Tamandua tetradactyla: one gene and its partners. The protein of the gene in region 3 interacts with the protein of the main gene of each other region in a biochemical or structural test. Links are inferred from orthologs where the notes say so. Each region holds a gene or a part of one and is shown on either strand. Other genes may lie near its edges.

Region 1 (6,826 bases), on a different chromosome or scaffold from region 3:
CAAAATGATATAGTAAACATTTGTTTCAAAGGTTTGCACATAATAGCACTATCCTGAAAGACAGCATTACTAAGTACTTTAAGATATTAATTTCATCTTTGAAAAAATTATGCTTTAAATTTAAACATATTTATCTTTCATTGTCTTTCCAAACAACGAAAAATGTGTGCTGACACAGTGAACCTATTATACTTCAGAGCAGTAAAATAGGTTTGTGAAGGAAAGTAAGGATAATAGCTAAAGTTATTTGGGAAAATAAGGTAATGACAAAAGCAAGAAGAGATAAGCCTACAGATGACATTACAGAATCAATTCGATGCCAATGCCTTCATTAACATAAGGCCCATACTTATCAATGTTTCACATACCTCTATCTTGTAGCATTTCTTACTTGTGATTAATAATACACTTTTTTCAACCCTTATTCCTTGATCTTCCTTAACCAAGATAAGCATTATCAAGGCTAACTCCTTTTCATTAACTTAATAAACATATTTTTATTTTATTTTAGTTTTTAATAATCATATTTGCAAGTGGAATAGCTAATAATTTTTGAGTATTTACTACAACCCTGCACAAAACACCTTACATTCTGGTTTCACTGAATTCCCACGTCAGCCATATTAAGTAAGTACTCTTACTCTTATTACCCTTGTCTTACAGATGAGTAAGCCAAATCAGAGAAGTTAAAACACTCACCTAAGGTTTCTGCCAGTAAGGGAGGATTATGAACCTAGCAGTCTAACTCCACAATCCATGTTGCAGACCACTATTCTACACCGCCAAGTCTTCCTTCAAAACATAATTAACTTTTAGTTATCTCAACAATGAAGGTGGCGTGCTGTTCCTAGAGACAGATTCCCTTCCAACCACATCACTTAAGCCAGAGATGATGCAACAGAAACATGAACTCAACTCTTTCTCAAGGCAGAAATGGACGTTTGTTATTGGAAATGCAGGTGGAACTGGGCCCTGAATTCATCCCAAATCAAGTTTCTCAGCCTCGGACTGCCTGGCAGTGGTCATAATCTTGCTAAGTAGTTAATGTACAGCTTTTGATTACCCATGAAAATGGATAAGAGCAGATATATCACGTATCGTTTTGAAATAAAAGGGTTTGACAGGAGAATTTTGTGCTTCCATTACTTGAAGATAAATAAAAAATGTGTTAAAAAAGGAGGGGGGAGGGGGGAAATGAAAGAAATAGTCCTTCTTTTCTCAGGTGATAACGCAAACTTCAAATATTTCTGGTTACCCTATGATAATTCTTTAGAGAAGCTATTTACTGTTCTTCCCAAAAGGAAATTTTCAAGTATTGTACACATCAGAGTTAATTAGAAACTGGTAATTTATCTCTCAGAACATCCCCCAAGACCTGTTCTTTTTTCCTGGAGGGTATGATTTTTTACTTGACCCATAAGACAGTGGGTCACTGTCTTAGATAAGCATTATCAAGGCTATTCAATAAAAGAATTTTTTATCATCTTCAACAGGCCATTTCCAAAAGCCGTTCTCAATCTTTCACAGTTTGGCATGACTGTGTTGGTAGCAAGAGAATGGAAAGAAACCTACAATTAAGCGTGGGTAACACGGGACCTGGTGATGGACAAGAATGGAGGAGGGAGTGGTGAGAGAGAGAAAGGAGTCCGATCCTTCTGCAATGAATCTGCAGTCTCAAAGCAGGACCAGCGCTGATAGAAAGGAATAAGGACAAGTACATACTATTCAAATTTAACTACTTACCAATGTAACACAATCAAGAAAAATAGGATGCTGCAATACAAATAAATATCTCCTTCATATATATATATAGACTTCCTTGGATTTAGACCCTACTAATTCCGGGTGGGAGAGTTCCATGTGCACACAGCACATCACCAGTTTTGTCCCAAAAAATAAACAAAAAAAGCAAGCAAAAACAAACAAAAACAACCAAAAGAAGCAGACGCCGCCCGGAGCCTTGTTTCCGAAATGGCAAAAAAAAAAAAAAAAAGGCAAAATGGAAGACAGAACGAGGTATGTGGAAGCAGACTAACGTTCAAAAAGAATTTTATCCCGAAAGAGAAAAAAGAAAAAGTTCAGAAACTTTTCAGCACTTGCGCTCAATGGCTCAGAAAGATTTTGCCACCTCTAAAGAGTTCCGCGCTGCCAGTCTCTACTGACGCCTCCGAACCCCAAACAAGAACCTCGTCCAAAAACGTCTCGGCAGCGTCCGCGGCTTTTGCCGCCTCTCCTAGAATGCAATGCACACCCGGAGGAAAATGCTTGGAACCAGCATCGCAGGGGCCAAAACAGAAAGTCCAACTACCGCCCGGGTGCAGCGTCTTTCAAGGGGAGGAAAAACCGCTTCCTTTCCCGCTGACGCCGCCGGGTCGTCGTCCCGCCCGTGAGGGGCTCCCAAAACCCCGCCATCTCCCCGCCCTGCAGAAGGGAAGCCGGCACCTGTCAGTTCGCTCAGGGACCCGAGCCCCACCCACCGGACACCTGTCAACCTGGAGCCGACACTCTTCCTGGCGACTCCGCCCGCGCCCCCCGAACCCGCTCCCCTGGCCGCGTCTTTCCGACACTCCGCGGTGGCCACAGGGGCGCGGAGAGCTAGCCTTCTCCCGCGGGACGGGGGCTCCCCGCGAGGACGCCGCGGCGCCTGCCCGGGTGCTGGCGGCGGCGGCGACTCGGCTCGCTCACCGGGCCACAGGCAGCTCCTCGGGGCCGCTGTCCTGCTCGGGGACCTCCTCAGGAGGGGGCGGCAGCGGCGCCGGGGGTTCCACAGCGGCGGCGGCGACAGCCGCTCTTCGGGGGGTTTTGGGAGGCATGACGCCCTCCTGGGGCGGGAGCCAGCGAGCAGTGGAGGACGGCAGGGCAGGGGGCCGCGCGCACACGTCGGGGTACGCCCCGTCCGCGCTCGGCTCTCGTGGCAAAATGATTTGGGCGTCCCCCGAGAAACGCCGGCCGAGCGCTCCCCCGCCCGGCACCCGAACCCCGCGTCCAACCGCGGGAAAACGTCACTTCCGCCCGCGGCGTCACGTCCGCGAGTCGCTCGGGCCCGTCGGCGTCTCGCGGGGCCCCGGGCGCCCAGCGTCGGGCGGGGGCGAGCGCGAGCGGGGCGGGGCGCGAACGCTGGTGGGGTGGGCCGCGAGTCCCGGCCTGTGGAGGCGCTGCCCAGGGGCGGTCGCCGCCGCGGCACCCTGGTTCTTGCCCTTACCTGCCCTTTCCAGGCTGGGGATGCCCGGAGTAGGGCGTTGAAGAAAGCCTGGGGGGTGAGATTGGGCCCCCAACTCTTATCTGCGAGCCGGATCGGCGTCCACGCGCGAGTGCGCGGTGTTATCAGGCTTCTGCACCCTTTGGCCTCGGAACCAGGTCCCGCCTGCCCAGTCTGTTAGCAGGGTGGGTCAAAAGAAGAACTCCTGTTCTGTTCCACAGATACTTACAGAACACTAATCACTAGAGGATATGAAATGTAGGACAGTTAGAGGCTTTGGGGGAAATCCCTGGATAGTGTAGGCAGAGGGTCTGTGGGTAAAGAACAAGTAAACAGGATAGTGTGATAAATGTCTTAATAGTGGCATAAAAATAGGAGGGTCTATCCACATATCTGCGAGATCTTCAGAGGGAAATGGCAGTTGAATAAAATTTGCCGAACACACTACTGTATGTTTCTCGCTTTCACTTTCTCTCTCTATAGATAAACCTTCTTTTTAATGAGGGCTTGCTGTGTGCCAGTAACGTTGCTAGCCACTTTCCATGATAATCTTATTTAATCCTCAGAGGCAACCCTTCAAAATCAGTAGTAGTATTACTCCACTTTCCAGATGGGAAACCAGGCTCAGAGGAGCTCATTAATGTGCCAGGTGGCACATAGCTGATGGATGGCGAAAGATTTGAACCCAAGTATATTCACCCACTTATCCATTAGGTGATGCTAATGAAGAAAACACCAAGAAGAAAGAAATGATGTGTGCAAAGGCATCAAGACCTCAGAAAGTTTGTTGTGGCTACGGCTCCCAAACATTGGCTTGAAAACTGCATGGTTTGTGTTTCTTGGTGTTTATTTATAACAATGCGTTTTCTAGTTGAAGTACATGTTTTTCTCAATCTTGCAGATGCTGTTGATTGCCTAGCTCAAAACTACCCATTGGAGGTGCTGTGAATGATGTTCAATTGTGCTCCACTGTAAATCCCCTCATCCTTGGAACAGCTGAACAGTATCTGAAGCAGCCTACATTTTCAGATAGTTCCTGGCAGAAAGCTTCATACATTTATCCAGTGTGCCATACCAAGGATTATCATTTTCTATGTATATCATGTGTGATGGTTAGGTTCATGTGTCAACTTGGCCAAGTGATGGTGCCCTGTCTGGTCAGGCAAGCACTGGCCTAACTGTTACTTACTGTAAGGACATTTTGTGGCTGGTTAATAAACCTGAGGCAGGTTTATTAAATCATCAATCAGTTAATTGCATCTATACCTGGTTATTTCTACTATCAACTAAGGGGAGTGTCTTCCATAATGAGAGAAGCCAATCAGTTGAAGACCTAAGGGAGAGGTGATGATTTCAGCAGTCAGAGGAGAGAATTTTTATCTCTACATCACCCAGCCAGCCAGCTTCTCCTTTGGAATTCATTGAACCCCTTCATTGTTGTTGCCAGCCCACAGCCTGCCCTACAGAATTTGGACTCTTGCATTCCCATAGTTGCATGAAACACTTTTATAAAATTTCATATGCACAGATATCTCCTATTGGTTCAGTTTCCCTAGAGAGCCCTAACACATCATTATATACGGCAGAATGTGAAAAAGATTAGCAAGTATTGGCCTACCCAACAGCCAGTCCCACCTAACTTTAGAAACCTGTCTTAGGAGGCCAGAGCTTATCAGGAGAAAGGATCCAGGCCCAGCCACAGCCCTAGAGAGTGAATCTTATTACAATGGTAAACCCCATTCACCTTGGCTGGGATTGGTTTAGACAGGAGCTGTTTTAGTTTCCTAGGCTGCCCAAGCAAATACTATGAAATGGTTCTCATTAAACAATGGAAATTTACTAACTCATAGGTTTGAAGCTAAAAGAAAGTTCAAATCAAGACATCAAGGTGATGCTTTTCCCCTGAAAACTGGTGGTCTGGGGCTGGCTGCTGGCAATCTTTGGACCTTAGTTTGTCACCATGGCAAGACATGGCAGCATCTCCTGGTCTCTTCTCTCTCTTCTGAGTTCCCTTGATTTCAGCCTCTGGCTGCTTTCTTTCTGGCTTTCTCTGTGTGTGTCTGAATTCCACTCCACTTATAAAGGCCTCTATATTAGAATTAAGACCCATCCTGATTGAGATGGGCTACACCTTAACTGAACTCAACTTATCAGAAAGTCCTATTTACAATGGATTAAATTTAAGAACATGTTTTTCTGGGTAATACAGCTTCAAGCCACCATAGAAGCTCAGGATGTAGTTTTTGGCCTTTGGATGATGAAGGATAGTTTGTTGGGAGGCTGATTAAATGAAATACAGGGATGACATTTCTTCCTCTACCTCTTAACTCTTGTCATGAGGATATGACACTGGAAACTGCAGCAGCCACTGTGACCTGAGGCAAGCAGACCAGAGAATAAGGCAGAAATGCTGAGGATGGTGCAGTAGGATTATCAAAAGAATCTGGAGCCTTGGTGGCATAAGTGAACCTCTGATTTGACCAACCCTGGAGCCGCCATAGACTGAGCTGGAAATTTCCGTAATTTGCAGAAAGTATCATGACTGACAATACTTCTCCTATGATCCCCTTCAGGATGGAGTCCAAATCTTGGGCATCTTTGGAGCCCTAGTCCCTAACTCAGTGTTGGGCAGTAGAGAGGGTAGGAGAGGTGAGGAATGTTCTGGAAACTGAAGTAAGCTCTCTTTATATAACTTGCTTTATTTAAACCCAGTTTATCAACATCTGAATTTACCACAATTAGGATAAAGAGACATTTCTCGATTTACAAAAAGATGTGTATCTTTACCACGGATTCCTTTCACTGTGTTCTCTTGTACTTTTTAAGTGTATTTTCCTTACACACAATGCAGGAGCAATTAAGTAAATCAAAATCATCACATCTCCCCCGCAGTTTTTTGTTGCATTACCGAATAAGTGTTAGATGTTCTTAGTTTCTTAAAATATGTTTTCTCTGATCTTCCCTCACCTCCAGAGTAACTTTAAGAATAGTGTCGCCAGACCAAAAAACAATCATTCATAGACTTGCCATCTGTAGAGAGAACTACAGATGCCTCTTCCATGATACCTCTTCCATGATGCCTCTTCCATGATACCAGAATACTTTTTGTTTTTTTTGAGTCTCCTGTAATCTAAAATTTCTTCAGATTTTTTTGCATCCCCAAGCTATCAGGGTATTTCCATTTCTTTAGCTTCTTGAAAGGGTAGTCCCCATTTGTTCTCTCTGTTTTCTCATTCCTCAGCTCACTATAATCTGGCTTTCTCCCACTGCCACCACCAGCTCTCCACTGAAATCACTCTTTCAGGGGCCACCAATGTCCTAAGAGATCACTCAATGGCTTTTTTTTTTTTTTTGCTTATATCTTTTTATTTTTTTAATGTTTAAATTTTATTGTGTTAACATCTATACCACATAAAAATTCCCATTTCACCGCTTTCACGCATATAATTCAATAGCACAAATTATATTCAGGTTGTGCTATGATCATCACCATCCATTATCAAAACCGTTTCATCACCCCAAAGAGAAACTCTGTGCTCTTTAAGCAATAACTCCCAATTCCCACTGCCCTGGTAACCTCTAATCTTCTTTCTGTCTCTGATTTTTTTTTCAATTCTAAATATTTCA
Region 2 (7,187 bases), on a different chromosome or scaffold from region 3:
GCCAAACCCGGGCCATAGCAGGAAGCAACCACCTGGCCTGTCTCAGCTAGGCAATTGCTGAGCTTTCTGCAGAGTCTGCCGAGCAGCTGCCAGGGAAGACAAAGTTAAATAAAGACCTCCAGGAGGTGGCAGGGGTGGCTGTCCGCCCGGCCTGGGCTTTATAGCTCATGTCTGTGAGAGGCCCGAGCATGCTGGGCCAGGCAGGAACCAAGGCTGCAGAAAGGACCTAACAGATAGGGCTGGGAAGAGTCACTTGCCCCCATGTCCCTTCTGGAAGCTCTAGAATTCTTTTACCGTGAGCATGAATTCCCGAAATAAAGATGAGGCTAACTGCTAAAACGCAGAGTCTTTATTATGTGCCAGATATTATCCCAAGAAAATTTTAGACTTTAAATAACATAAGCCTCACCACAAACCTATGGCCTGGGTACCAGTAATATTCCCAGTTGGGGAAACTAAGGCACAGAGGGTTCAAACAGCTCTTCAGTGGTGCAGAAGGAGCCTCGCTCTGAACCCAGGTGGCCGGGCCTGAGCTCAGAACCAAGCTGCCAGGCAAACTTTCTACTAATCTTACCACCCTCTCTGGAACACTTTCTCTCTACCAGGTCCCAAGCCAAGTTCTTCTGTGGACCCAATCTCGTTCTATTCTTACAACTGTCTCACAGAGGATGGGGTCACATCAACTCAGTTTGCAGGGGCTCAGGGAGGGTCTGCCTCTCGCTCCACTACAGGGTGAGTCGGCAAGCGACTGGAATGGATTTAGAATCCAAGCTTGCCTGTAGCTGCTGTGGGCACTGAGTCCTGCTGCTCCTCTACTCCTCAGCTCCCCACCAAAGCCCCGGGGCCCAGGAGACTTAGGAAAGGGTTGTAGCTCTCAATGGCAACACAGGAAGCAGTTCTGAGCCAGAGAGAAGGGTCTGGAGGGAGGAGGGCGGGCCTCACTCAGCAGGGCAGGACCAAGTGGCTTTCCAAGCAGCAGCAAAGAGTAACCTCTTTATGTTACAGAAATAGGTGTACCTAAGAATATTTAGGGCTTTGCGGAGATCTTAAGTATTTCCTATTACAATGCCACACAGGGTAAAAAACAGAAGCACTAGAACTTTCTTACCATACTTCAGTGGCCTGCCCAGAGGGCACACTACCCAGGAGACTGATGTGTAAAGGACTGGGAGGTTGGAAGGTGGCCTGGGGGCCAGATGTAGAGGCTAATGTAGTATCCCAGAAGGATGGGGAGTGCCCTTCTAGAAGTTTCTGGATAAATGACTGGGAGCTGGCACATACATGGGAGGGAGGAGTGGGAAATTCCTTACTGGAAGGTTCTGAGAGATACGGACCCCAAGCTGAGAGTGTAACAGGCTCAGGTACATTGGTGCAGGTATGTGGGTGCTGCTCCTAACTAGGGGAGCAGATGAGACCCCTACATCTTACAAGGGCTACCCTGCTGCCCGAAAGCACCATGCTGGTGGTAGGACATGGGTCACCCGGACTTGGGATTCTGGGGTCTGGATTTCAGGGTTCCGTTGTGGGCAGGTAGGCAAAAAAAAAAAAAAAAGGGGGGGGTAGGTAGTGAGCTTGGAATCAGGCCAGGAGGGCGTCTGGGTGAGAGCAGGGCCAATTTGGTGGTCAGAGATTTGGCAGATCAGGCTGGGGCTTGGAGTAAGGGGGAGTGAATGTGGAGTCCGTGGGCATGGGTTTGGGTGTGATTTTCCAGGCTCGGCTTGGGGGTAGGCAACAGCAGGGACCTGTACTGCCAAGTTATTGCAGGAAAGAGCTGGGTTGTAGTTACTCTGGAAGCCAAGGGGGTGGGGTTCCCGGTGTAATGAGAAATGGGCTACAGAGTAAATGAGGCTAAAGGAGAGTGGCTAGAATTAGCTCTCCATCAGGGTGGGAACTGGAAGTTTTGAGTCTGGGGGAAAACCTGGTTCCAAAACCGTGATCATAAACAGGACTGGGGATGCCGGCCTACCTAGCGGGTGTGGGGGTACAGGTCTACACTACAGTGAAGGAGTTACTAGGCCTGGGTCAGGGTCCCAAGTCAGGAATGGGCATCTCAGGGTAGGACAAAGTTCCTTGTTCTCTTTGGAGTAAGCAGGCTCTCTTTCTGGATCTGGTTGGGAATCCTCAATCATAAAATGCCAAGAGGCAATCCCAGGACAGAATTAAAGTATGGAGGGTCTAGATTCGGACGCAGAGCTCTGGGTGTAAATATAGAAGGTCCCAGACAGGACTGAGAGTATCTCCAAGGCTCGTCTTGAGGAGTACAGACCCTGGGGAAGGTGTGCTAGGGATTATCAGGAAATCTCACGCAATAATCCGAGGGGGTCCAGCGGCTCGCGGGGGTAAATTGGGAAGGAACTCAGGGTCCTGGAGCTGAATCGAGGGACCCCGGGCGACAGTGAGGGTCCAGACCGTGGAGTGGGAGTCCAGATGTCAATGGCGGGGTCCCTCCCTGGGCGGAATCAGGGGTCAGGGACCCTGGAGGGGGGGCCCCGGCGGAAGGAAGGCGCGGAAGTGCGCGAGCTCTACCTGATGCCGCCAGCGGAAGAGGCTGGCCGTGTCGATGTTGGGGTGGGTTTCGTCCTCATCGTCCGACACCTCGATGTGGTCCCACACGCTGTAGTCCACCATCTTGCCTGGGCGGCCCAGCCCGCTCCGGCTGCGGCGGCGGCGGCGGCGCTGGAGACTCTAGCTGGCGCAGCCCCGCCCCTTCCGCTTCCGCCCAGGCGCGCGCGCGCCCGCCCGCGGTGACGTCACATCCCTAGTAACCGCGAAGGCGGCACTGGCAACTGAGCCAGCCCTTAAAGGGCCCTGCGCACGTGTTCGGTAGTCCGGGAGTCCCCGCGTAGAACACACCTCATCGAGCACCCGGGCTGCCCTGGGCACCTCCTGGGGTCACATGGGCATGAGCTCCCCTTATCTCCAGGCCCCCCTCGGTGGGCCCTTGCGATGGCCACGGGGAGGTGGGGGAGTTGGTGAGGCTGAGGGCGAGGACTGTCTCTTTGGCCAGGCCTCAGTGACATCATCCGGAGCCCCCTGCAGGGGCGGGGCCTCGGCGAGAAGACCCGCCCCTACCCCTTGTGAGGGTTAGCCATCCCTGACCTGGGGAAGGGCGTCTGATCTTAAGGGACCTATCCTGCCAGAGGGGTACCCTTGGGAGGCTCTACGTGGGGGAGAACGATTTGCCCCTGCTCTTGGGGAGGTGGGCGGTGGGAGGGAATGTGGCATTGCCTTGGTGTTTGGGGTTCCCTCGGCTCGGATCACGGCCTCCATCTACCAGATCCCTTTTCTGCCCCCACGTTCTGGCGCACACACCCCCTCTCTGGAATCACCTGGGCCCCCCTAATTCTCCAGCGCGCCCTTCGCGGCGTCTCCCCGTACGACCACTGAGCGTCGCTAATGTCTAGCCAGCGGCGGGGAAGCGTGAAGGGGCGGGTCGGGGGCTTTCCTCGGCATGGTAGTCTGGGGCCGCTCACAGCCCCTCCCCTTTCGTGGGGGGCCCCCTTCCCGGGCCGGCGCTCCCAGGACTGCCGTTACTCTGAGCTTGGTGAAGCCGAGCGCATACTTCTATAAACCCAACCCACGTTTTGATCCCGGCATAAAAGTCCGCGTTGCAGCCTAGGGCCAGGTTTATCCCAGATTAAGGGGCGCTGGGCAGGGGGGCGTTTGAGAGGGGAGAAACTCCACCAACCCGACCAGGGGCGCCTCTTTGCAGACTCCCCGGGGGCGGATTTTTCGGGGGCCTGGAGGGAATGAAGAAAAGGTCTCCAGATGGGGGGTGATTCCCCGGCTCTCGGAGGAGGAGGGACCAGCCAGACAAAAGCGCCCTCTCGCGCGTTCCCCTCGCCCTCCATTCAAGCCCGCGGGTGGGCGCGCGGGGGCGGGGGAGTCCCTCTCTCCTCCCCCTCCCCCTCCAGCCGGGCCAGTCCAGCCTCGCAGCGGCCGTCACGGCCCAGGCACGCGCGCGCACGGACCCACACCACAGCGGGACTCATAATCGCACACACACACACACACGCGCGCGCACATACACAGACACCGGCAAACAAAGGGTCTGGACGCCCCCTTCCCCTCCTGCCCCTAAGCCGGAGAGGGCGAGACACCCCATCCCCAACGCCCCCCAGTTAAGGTAAGCTTCCGGCTACGCGTTGCAGTGGGGAGGGGGTCCTGCGCTCTGGAAGGAAGGGACTGGGACCATTGAGGGGGGGCTTCCTCTGGCCTCCAGAAATGCTGGGGTCCCCGCGTCCACCCTTTGCAGGCTCGGGATGTGCGGGTCGGACCCTGGATGCTGAGGATTCCCAGGTAGAGAAGGTGGGGGGCAGGAGTGGGTCTCTCCCTGACTTCCGAGCTTGGAACTGCCCCGCCCCAGAGAACCAGGTGCCAGGATCCCCAGCTCCCAGAACTAGGGGCAGGGTGCCGGCAGCTCCCCCATCAACGCCCAGCATTTCCTAATCGACTGCCAGCAAAACATCTTCAGCCCTGGAGGCCGAGTGAGAGAAACCATCCCGAGTTGCTTTGCACTCTCCCTCTGTCCCACCCCCACCCCCACCCCCCACCCCCGCCCCATCAGTGCACCCCCGTTGTGTTTCTTGTTCCTGGAGGGGGAGGGGCCGGGAATGCCCCAGCTTCCGCTGCTGCGGTGGGAGCCAAGGAACGGGGATTTCCCTTCCCCTTCCTGAGCCTCAATTCCTTCATCTGCAAAGTGGGTAAAATGACCCGTAGGTAGCTGAGCGAGGGCCAGGTCCTCCTGTGCCCCATCAGGCATTGTCAGCTCATCCCACACCTATTTCTTGAGTGCCTACTGGGCACTGGGCACCTGACAGGTGTGGAGGTCTGCGGCAATAAACAGAACCAGCCAGGCAGGCTGCTAAAGGAAGGAGATCAGTGGGTAAAGGGAGAAGAGCCTGTGGGCAATCTCAGACTGCCAAGAGGAAAATTTGGTCAGGCCTAGAAAGTTGGGAAGTGGAGTGGGGAGGTGGGGATATAGGACTCACATTTAAATAGAATTTCTGGGTCCTGTCTGCCCTCCTTGTGCTCTGAGCTGCAGGATGGTCGGGCTGAGTGCAGAGCCGCCCAATAAATGTTGAATAGATTAAAGGGGGGGGTGTGTTAGACTAAAACTAAATTCGTAGGCTTTAGATCATGAAGCGATGTTATCATGAATCAGTCCAAACCCCATCCCACTTTACATATGAAATGATTAAGTCCCTGAGCCCAGAGAAAGGGGAAAGATGTCACCTAAGGCATCACCCGCAGGGCAATAGGGTGTTGTCCTTCCCATAAAAGTTTACAACCTGAAGGCATGATTGTAAACATCTGGGAAAGGAAGGGGGCAGAGGGTAGCCAGAGCCTGTCCCTCCTCACACTTCCACAGAGACACAGCCCTGTATTCATTCAGTATGTAAGTATTTACTGAGAGCCTACTATATGCCAGGTGCTGGGGAGCCAGCAGTGAACAAAACAAAACACCTGTCCTTGTGGAGCTGACATTTAGTGGAGGAAACAGAAAAGAGGCAACATATACAAACAAATTAATAAATAACAAATTGTTATTAGGATTGTGATGGAAATAGAAGGTTTTATAACAAGAGAGAAAAATTGGGGAGGTGGGCAGCGGACTTCAATTTCGGTATCTGGAAGACCTCTCAGAAGAAAGGAATTACTCTTCACACACACACTCAAACCCACACAAACACAGCCACACTAACAAATACCAGAACCCAGATAACATGAGGGCACATAGCCCAGCAGTGGCTCTGCAGAAATTTGAACCCAAATCTACCCATTGTGTAATGCTGCTTGTCGCTGCATCTGCCTGTATGACCCCACCCCCACCCTACCCCCACCCGTATCCTGGCAAAGTCACAATCACGCAGGCACATCTGACCAAATGCCCATGTAGAACTCCACCTAGGTAGGGTTGCTTTGTCACACACATACACTCCTACAGTATTGTCTGTCTCAACTATGCAACCCTGAGGCTTCTAGAAAGCTCTGCCGGTTCAGTGGCACCTGCACAGCTGTGTCCAAAGTCTCATGTACACGGACATGTGCCGAGCCCTGCTTCAGCTCCAGGCATGGAGGCCTCGGTACTTCTTGCCCCTCTGCAGGACTGGCTCCCAGGGACAGGAAGCCAACAGAGATATTTGTCCTCACTTCTTCTGAGGGACTTGGTGAGTGGGCAGGGGTTGGGGCGTCAGGTGAGGCCAGAGGCTACCAGCCGGGTGGGTGCCGATTGTGCTGACCGGCTAGGAGCAGGTGGGAGAAGCCTCTCTCAGCCTGAGCCGGGTGCCAGCTGTCCAAAGCGACTTGCTCTGCCATCTGGACCCCCTCCCTGGCCAGGCTGCTGCCCGGGGGAGGGGAAGGCAGGCTTGCTTTTTGCTTGGTGTGATCTCTGCAAAAGTGCACGCATGTCTGGGCTGAGCTAGGGCGCGTGTTTCTGTTGCTCTCCCTTGGGCTGTCAAGCCCCCCTGTCTTCCATTCCTTCCTTCCACATCTACAAATCTTTGAGCACCGGCCATGGGCTATGGAGTTTCCCTTGTTCAGAATTCTGAGGACTTTCAAGACGGTGATAGTGGAGATAAACAAAGCACAGGTCATTCCAAGAGTGTGGAACCCTGTACCACTTCACTGGCCGCACACCCATGAAGCCGGCTCTGGACAAAGCCTAGAATAAGAGAGAAAATTCCCCTGCCCTCATGGACCTGAGGGATTGGGCAGTGGAGGAACAGGTCAATGTAAGATGTACCAGGAGTGATGAGAGAGAGAGCTGAGAAGAGAAGTAAAGCTGGGTGACGGGTAGAGAGGGACAGCATGAATGTGTGGGGGGAGTCCATCTCTGGGAAAGCTTCCAGAAGGAGGTGACTTTGAGCAGAGATCTGAAGGAGGTAAAGGAGTCAGGCAGATTCATTCATTCCTTCATGAAATATTTGGTGAGGACATACTGCAAGCCAGCATCGTCCTAGGCTCTAGAGACCCAGCAAGGAAAGAGACCACCAACCCTGCCTTGCACCCTAATCAAAGGACGGGGCATTAATAAATTAAAATAAGTCAATGATTTTGTTTGAATTTATAAGTCTAAAACAAACCAAACAAAAGCAGAATCAGGGGGTCAAGGAGATTGGAGGAGCACAGGATATCGGAGGCTTGTTTTCCTGATAGCAGGAATAGCAAGTGCAAAGGTCCTGGGG
Region 3 (7,909 bases):
AAATAGTAGATATGGATATTCTGAAAGCACTGTTAAGGCATTTCCCCCACACCATGGGGGAAAACATGAACATGACACTTCATAAGATCCACAATAAAGTATGAAAATGTCTCTTTGTTGAGGGGTAACAAACCCCTCATGACTCTTTGTTGAGGGGTAGCACGTACCAGCAGAATCACATGCTGTAACTTTAAAGACAGAAGAAGTAATTTGTATTTCCTTGGTTTGAAGATGCTTTTGAATACTCACCATATCCTTATAGATAAGTCTTTGCAGCTTTCAGATATGGATTAAGTGCATCTTCATATCGACAAAGGGTTCTGCCAAGGCAAAAATGTTTAAAAAGACAAGCAGGAACTCTTCTCTATTTAGTTGGCTGAACACCTCATATTTTTCTCAGTCTTTCACTAGCAAAACTTCATAACTCATCGGAAATGAGAAAGGAATCACGAAAAGAATCTGAACATTTAATAACATGCCCATTGTCTCATACAATGTCTTCATCGTATAAATGGTTAAAAAATGACATTGAAAGCTGTGTGCAAGGAATGTTTATTGCATCAATTTTTTTCACTTCAGTTCCTTGTTTCAAGAAGGCCGATGATGTTCAAGGTTTCTCTCTCAACTGGGAAGGTACCTCGTGAACATGGCAGCGTCCACTGGCTTTTTCATGGCTCCATAAAAAGGCTAAGGACTTTATTTTAATTTTAAATCTCATGAGTCTTTAGGGCAGAGATTGGGAAGTGATGGCCCAAGAGCTGAATCTTCTCCCTAGGCCCTCACAGTGTATTTTGTTCGTTTGTTTGTTTTAACATATAACTTTACGGTCACCCATGACTTCTCTGTTTCTCTCACCCCTCCTTCCTCTCTCTTCCCACCCCATCCACTTCTAAGCCATTGGAGAATCAACCATCATTGGCTCAACCTTCAAAATGTAGCCAAGCATCCAACCACTTCTCACCATCTCCACCACCTCTACTGGTCTGAGCCACCGTGACTACCTCTCGCCTGGACTTTCTGATACTTCCTGTTTTCCCCACTTCCACTCTTGATTTCTTAAGTCTGATCTCAGTACAGCAGCCACACACAGGTGTTTTAACTTAAAAAGCTGCGTCCCATGACTCTCATATTGCTCAGAGTAAAAGCCAAAGCTTTTCAAAACAAGGGAGTTCTTCCAAAAGTCTACAAGACCCTGTACCATCTTTCGTCCTGGCCTTCTGACCTCATCTTCTACCTCTCACTCTTCACTAGATCCACCCCAGCCACACTGGCCTCCTTGCTGCTCCTCGGACAAGCACTAACTATTCTCTCTGCCTGAAGTGCCCTTCCCCCAGACATCTCCATGGCTCACTCTGAGTCTTTGCTCAAATGTCACCTCTCAGTGAGGCCACCCTCTTTCATTTTGTAACCTGCCCCCTCCCAGTCCCCTTCACCCAGCTTTATTTTTTCCCAAAGCATTTATTCACAAATTACATATTTTACTTATTTATTATGATTTTTATTATTTTTTAATATCTCCTCTTTCTAGAATGTGTGTTCCTTCAGGGCAGGTACTGCTGTCTGTTTTGTTTAATGATGTGTCCAAGCACCTAGGATAGTACTCTGTACATAATTCAGTGCTCAATAAATATTTATAGAATGAATAAAAAAATAAAAGTCTGATTTTTGACTAAAAAAAAAAAAGACAAAACCCTAAGAGCCACCACCACTGGGTTGCAGCCCTCTCTGGTAACCATTGTGGTGGCTGAGTGGTAGCTGCCTGCTTTAGATGGGACCTACATTTCCAAAGGGCCATAGCTCCCCACCCCATGTCCACTTTACTCATTCATCTCATCTGCCTAGTACCTGCAGGCACTTGAGTTTGCAATCCCTGTTACCAGATGCTTTGGGATCTCTGAAGAGGAGAACAGAATACATGGAGCCTCCCAATTTTTCAGGCCATAGAAGCTTTTGCTGAAATGACCTTTATCAACCTGCAGGCAGCGGGAGAAAAGGTGAACATCAGCTGTTTGCTGAACTGACAAGGGTGAGGGGAGTTAACACAAAGGATGGGGAGGCCCTGGAGTCATTTTCCTCCCCATGATAGGGGTTGGGAGCTCCCTGACAGCTGGGGGAAAGTCTGATTCAACTCTATCTCTTCCACAGGCTTTCAAATCAGGGATGGTGGGAAGGGCTGGTCTGGCAGTCAGAATAAGCTCCCTGATTCTGCACTGGGTGACCTGGCTTGAGTCATTGAACATTTTGAGTCTCTAGTCCCTCATCTAAAAAACGAAGGTGTAGCCATCTTTCCAGATCAGCTGTGAGGTCTGAATAAGGCATAGTCTTCTTGAGCTTTCTAAGCTGCAAAATGCTTGGAAAATACCATCTGGAGGAAATTAAAGGAAGGCATGACCTGGGAATGAGCCAAGTGTGACCCTGTCACTCTGCCTCACCCGATGATGCTGATGCTGATGACAATGGTGGTGATGATAAGTGATAGCTTTAATTATAGTTAACTGTATTTAATGTTACTACTACAGGCCAGGCACTATTCTAAGTGCTTTACACCTTAAATTCACTAAATTCTTACAACTTTTAAAAACTATCACATTTTTGTTACAGATGAGGATACTGAGAAACTGAGAGGTTTAAGTGACTTCCCCGAGTCCCAGATCAGGAAGTGGCAGTGTTCGGATTTGAACTCAGGCAGGCTGGCTACATGTTACTGAAGTCTCAACCGTCTGGCGGTGTGCTAAATGCTCTCCACACAACACAATCTTATTTAATTCTATGAGGTAAGAGTTATTGTTATCACTCTTATTGGAAAAAAAATACCCCATTCAGGGTTCTCTCCACATTCCATGCCTCAGTTTTCCCCTGGCTTTTATTTTCATGCAGGATCACATGTTCCTGCCTATCCTGATTTGCTAGCTACGGAAAGCAATATACCAGAAACAGAACGGCTTTTAAAAAGGGGAATTTAATAAGTTGCTAGTTTACAGTTCTAAGGCTGAGATAATGTTCCAGTTAAAGTAAGCCTATAGAAATGTCCAATCAAAGGCATCCAGGGAAAGATACCTTGGTTCAAGAAGTCTGATGAAGTTCACGGTTTCTCTCTCAAGTGAGAAGGCACATGGTGAACACAATCAGAGTTTCTCTCTCATCTGGAAGGGCACATGGCGAACATGGTGTCATCTGCTAGCTTTTTCTCCTGGCTTCCTGCTTCATGAAGCTCCCCAGGAGGCATTTACTTCTTCACCTCCAAAGATAGCTGGTTGGTAAACTCTCTGCTTCTGGTGGGTATGTCATTCTCTGCTCTCTCAAAAATCTCTCTCATTCTCCAAAATGTTTCCTTTTTTATAGGACTCCAGAAACTAATCAAGACCCACCCAAATGTGTGGAGATACGCCTTAACCTAATCCAGTTTAACAACCACTCTTGATTAAATCACATTTCCAGGGAGATTATCTAATTACAGTTTCATACATACAAAATTGAATAGGGATTAGAAGACACAGCTGCCTTCACAAAATGGGATTAGGATTAAGACATGTCTCTTCTAGGGTACATACAACATTTCAAACCAGCACACTGCCCTTAACTCCTTACCTTCCTTCATTTTTCCTTGTAGTGCACATATTCCTACCTGAATTTACACATTTTTTCTTCCCATTACTAGGAGACAGGGATTTTGATTATTGTTGATTTCCTAATACCTAAACGCTATGTGTGGTATGTAACAGGCTGTCAATAAATAGTTAAAAGAATGAATGTAACATGTAGCTTTGTATGCATGTGCTTGCATAAAAGCCTTTTTTTTTTTGTTTTACTTCATATCTTGGAGGGTTTTTGTTTGCTTTTATCAGTATATAGATTTAGTGTATTGTTTTAAACAGTTGGGATATTCCACACTGTGGGTGTGGCATCATTTAACCAGTTTCCTATTTAATCTACATTTTTCTATTGTTTCTCTAATCCAAACAATATGGCAATAAACATCTCTGCACATACCATTTTGCGCGAGTGTGAACGTATTTCTCTAGAACGAGTGCCTATAAATGGAACTGCCGGGAGCATGGGCGCTTACATTTAAAATGTTAATAATAATCCCAAATTGCCCTCCCTATTCACTCCTGCCACTGCTGTATGAGGATACGTGACAGGTGTGCATATACCTAGGACCAAACTGGATATCAGTCCTTTAACTTTTTGCCAGTCTGATGGGAGTTGGTGGAGGTGGGGATGAACCTCATTTACAACTGAGGTAACTGCGGCTCAGAAAGGTTTAGGAATTTTCCCAGGCAACTGGTAAGTGGCGGAGCCATGATTCGGCATCGGATGTGAGACTGTTGAGAGGAGGCACCATAGCTGGATACTGTCCTCTCTGCACGTGTACATGTGGTCATCTCTGAGACTCAACATGCTGACAAGCACGCAATTCTCGGCCAGGCCGCTTTCTCTCCCCATCCAGGCCTTGGGGCTCTCCCCGGGAGCTACACTCGAAAGCTCCTCGCTCCCCTGGCAACCTGCTCGGTTCCAAAATGGCGGCTGCAGCAGTCGGGAGCTCGAGGCCACGCCCCTTCCCCAGGGGGCGGGCCTTGAGATCAGGCCCAGCGATCGATGCCGGAGCCAAGCTCTAAGTGGGGCCTTCAGGCGGCTGGAGCCGCAGCAGAGTCGGAGGCCCCGCAGGTCGGGAGGAAGAGTACCGAGCGGAAGGCTCGCTTGCCGGGGCTGTCCGAGAGTCTCTTCATCGCGGGCACTGTGGCCGCCATTTTAGATGGCGGGAGTGAAACGAGAGCGAGCGTAAAGCGGGACGTCTTCCCTTCTGCTCTCCTCCGGCCCTTGGCCGGGCTTTGGGGCGTGTGCCCTGAGGCGCGGAGCGTGAGTGGGACGATGCGGGGTCTGCCCGGGGCCCCGTCCCCCGGGCTGGGGACGCGCCGAATGTGACCGCCTCCCGCTCCCTCACCCACCGCGGGGAGGAGGAGCGGACGAGACGCCGCCGCTGGACGTCGGGACACCCGGGCGCCCCGTCTCCCTCAGGTAGGCGGCCGGGCCTGGCCCGGCCCTGGACGCCGGGGGAGCGAGGCCGGGTTTCCCTGGAGCCGGGCGGGGGCGGCGCTGACTGAGCGACCCGGCAGCTGCCGGGCTGAGGGCCCGGGCCAGGCCGCTGTCACCCCGGGTGGCGCTGGGCGGGTGGGGGGCCCGGTGTCATGGCCGGCGACCCGAGTTCCCACATCCCCACTCAGATTTCGTTGTGTGTCGGGGAAACGTTTCAGTGCCACCTACGTGCCCAGTGCACATTCCTCATGTTTTGGCCGTGGGAAAATCCACCCAGAGCTTCGCCGTATCGTTGTCATTAGGACAGACTTGTTTCTTTTATATCTGGCGGCGGAGTTGGGGACTATGCTTTCGCCTTCTCTCCGGGTTCATCACTAAGTAACACCCTCTTAGGGAAGACGAAAGGAATCCGGGAAGAGAAAAGGAAATGGGTCAGTGCCTCACCACAAAGACAGAAGGGCCTCGCCTTGGTTTCAGGACTCTGTGGGTTATTAATGAAAGGTTTGGGATGCTTAGACTGAGGATTGGTCCCGGGATGCTTTGGAAGGGAGAACCAGGGCTATCTTCTGTGCCAAGGAAGAGCCGCCAGGATGGTTCACTTCTGTAACTGCAGAGAATCTGCAGAGCTAGTCGATGCCCGGAGACCAAGAGGAGTTTGGACGTCGTGAGAGACGAGGCGGCTCTGTGTTCATTCATTGTTCTTTTTCCAGGACTCTGGGTGTGCCCTCTGGTATTCGTTCTCTGGTGGGAAGAATGATAGGATCTCGTTTGTCTCCTTGAGATGCGATCTGGTTCCAGGGGGTCACGCAGTCTAAGTAGAGAAGGAATTCCTTGCACATTCACATAGCATTTCTGCCTGCCTTGACTCTAATGACTGAGGGAGGAAGTCTCCTTTTCGTTGCGCTCCCAAGACGAGAGAAGAAAGCCTTGTGATGAGGTTTGGCTTTCCGAATGCTATGGAAACTTGGAACACCTAGTTCTGCCTGGGGGAGCTAAGGAAGCTTGTACACTTCAGGGGACTTTTGCCCGGAGTTTTGAAGGATTGATGAGTAAGTCCTCACCAGGTAGGAGGAGGGGAAAGGCATTTTCTAAGCTGAGATATAAAGGCATAGAAGCTGCCGGAGTTGGGATGAGTTTAGGGAGGAGCAAATAGTCTGCCGGGAGAAATGGTGAGAGTTGAGAATCCAAAAGAAAAGTTGCTAGATTGGGAAGGGTTTTTCTTTATTGGAGGTAGCGGTCAATTAATTGATTTAATTTGGATTCTTCTAAATTGGTGGTGTTGTTTCGTTGTTCTTACCGAAAACTCGTTTCTCTCCCCTCCCTTCATGATTTTGAAACTAACAGTAATTTTTGAAAAGATTTACTTTGTTTAACCCAGTTAAGAGCATTTTTGATAAATGGTTTAGATAAAATGTTTTGCATTTATGCAACGGTGAATGGACTGCGCTCATATTCCTAGGGAATTTTGCAAAACATTTTTCTCACGTTAATGCTTGCTCATTAACGTGACACACAAAAAAGTGAATTTTTAAATGTCGCACACACTGTTAATTCTCAGGTTTAAGTGGCTGTTTCACAACATAAACAATGTTTCCAGTCATACAGAAATTGGCAGATTATATATAACATCCAAAAAAGTGTAGAATGCAAATGACTATTTTTAGCTTAATAGATGTGTTTTACGTTGTAAAATGGGTCTTCGGGTTCCACTTCTCGTATCCTGGTTCCAATTCTCATATAAAATCTGAAGCTCTATGAACATAATTTTCCTAAAATAGTTGTGTTATTGTGATTAATTCTTATGCTAAAGTTGCTATTAACATATTAACAGACTTCAGCTGGTAGTTCCCACATCTTTCTTAAAGGATTGTGATTATATACCACTGAAGAACATTAAGTCTTTGGCTGGCTGTCACCCTTATCATGTCAAGGGCTAAGCTGTTTAAAATGCAACAGAAACATTTGACCCAGTTGAACAATGGATAGTTGGGAGTACAAACCTATTACTGTTTCTGTTCTGAAAATGTATCTATTCGGTGTGTGGCGTTTGTGATTATAAATCGTAGTAATCTTAAGCTCTTGTCCATAGTTGGAAAACTTTTCGTCTTCAAAGTAGAAGGCTGGAATGAAATATTTGAGGGTATTTTATGGGATTTAATTTAGCAGAAAGAAAACTTAAGTGAAAAGCTGATTAAGCCTGTCATTTATGACAAAAAGTATCTAGAAGATGAAATAGAGAATGGTTACACATCCGGTACCTTAGAATTGCTGTGAACCTTGTTGCTTTTAGTTTAAAACATGCCATTTGTGAAGTCCAATGTAGGTGGTTTGCTCTGAAGATTAAAAAAATGACTTCATACTTCTTGTATGTTAAATTTGACTTTTCTAGAAGCTCTAGATTACTTATGAAATAGGAAATAAAAGTAATAGCTTCATTTACTGTTTCAAGTGTCCAGTTAGTAGATGTATGAGTCTATATTTTAATTTCAGATAAAACATTGCTAGTGACCTGTAGCCTAAAAATAGGAAAATATTACACAAGGGAATACTTTTATTTGCATGTTAGAGACATAATAGGCCCTACACAATAATACTATTCTTGGGAGGAGCTTGTTTGCCAAGCAACATGCCTTAACGTTGACTTGCAGATGAGAATTTTAAATATTGCCTTTGAAAGGTGGTAGACTAATGTAACAGTGGAGTGGGGGAAGAGGGATGGTGTACTGAGCTTTGACTTGAAAAGCTTTTAGATCATGGAAGTAATTTCTTCAAAACAAATAACCGTAGTTGGAAAATTGCTTACCTTGACGAAATTAATTGGAAAGTCAAGGAACATTGGCTTCGTTCAGGATTTAAGTCATAATTTACTCTG

Evidence for each region. The genes of interacting proteins can lie anywhere in the genome.
Region 1: the proteins of RAF1 (region 3) and RB1 form a complex in vitro, tested with the Homo sapiens proteins (3 studies listed by BioGRID, with this or other methods). The link is inferred for Tamandua tetradactyla from reciprocal best matches to the Homo sapiens genes RAF1 and RB1.
Region 2: the proteins of RAF1 (region 3) and CDC37 form a complex in vitro, tested with the Homo sapiens proteins (2 studies listed by BioGRID, with this or other methods). The link is inferred for Tamandua tetradactyla from reciprocal best matches to the Homo sapiens genes RAF1 and CDC37.

The regions. Positions count from the first base shown.
Region 1 is NC_135330.1:109,981,749-109,988,574, forward strand, and holds the start of RB1 (retinoblastoma-associated protein), read right to left. Parts: upstream 3,001-6,826; 5' UTR 2,814-3,000; coding exon 2,686-2,813; intron 2,421-2,685; exon of another isoform or gene 1,744-2,420; intron 1-1,743. UniProt on the Homo sapiens protein: Tumor suppressor that is a key regulator of the G1/S transition of the cell cycle. The hypophosphorylated form binds transcription regulators of the E2F family, preventing transcription of E2F-responsive genes.
Region 2 is NC_135337.1:91,391,061-91,398,247, reverse strand, and holds the start of CDC37 (hsp90 co-chaperone Cdc37), read right to left. Parts: upstream 3,001-7,187; 5' UTR 2,629-3,000; coding exon 2,527-2,628; intron 1-2,526. UniProt on the Homo sapiens protein: Co-chaperone that binds to numerous kinases and promotes their interaction with the Hsp90 complex, resulting in stabilization and promotion of their activity. Inhibits HSP90AA1 ATPase activity.
Region 3 is NC_135335.1:36,145,576-36,153,484, forward strand, and holds the start of RAF1 (RAF proto-oncogene serine/threonine-protein kinase), read left to right. Parts: upstream 1-4,908; 5' UTR 4,909-5,019; intron 5,020-7,909. UniProt on the Homo sapiens protein: Serine/threonine-protein kinase that acts as a regulatory link between the membrane-associated Ras GTPases and the MAPK/ERK cascade, and this critical regulatory link functions as a switch determining cell fate decisions including proliferation, differentiation, apoptosis, survival and oncogenic transformation.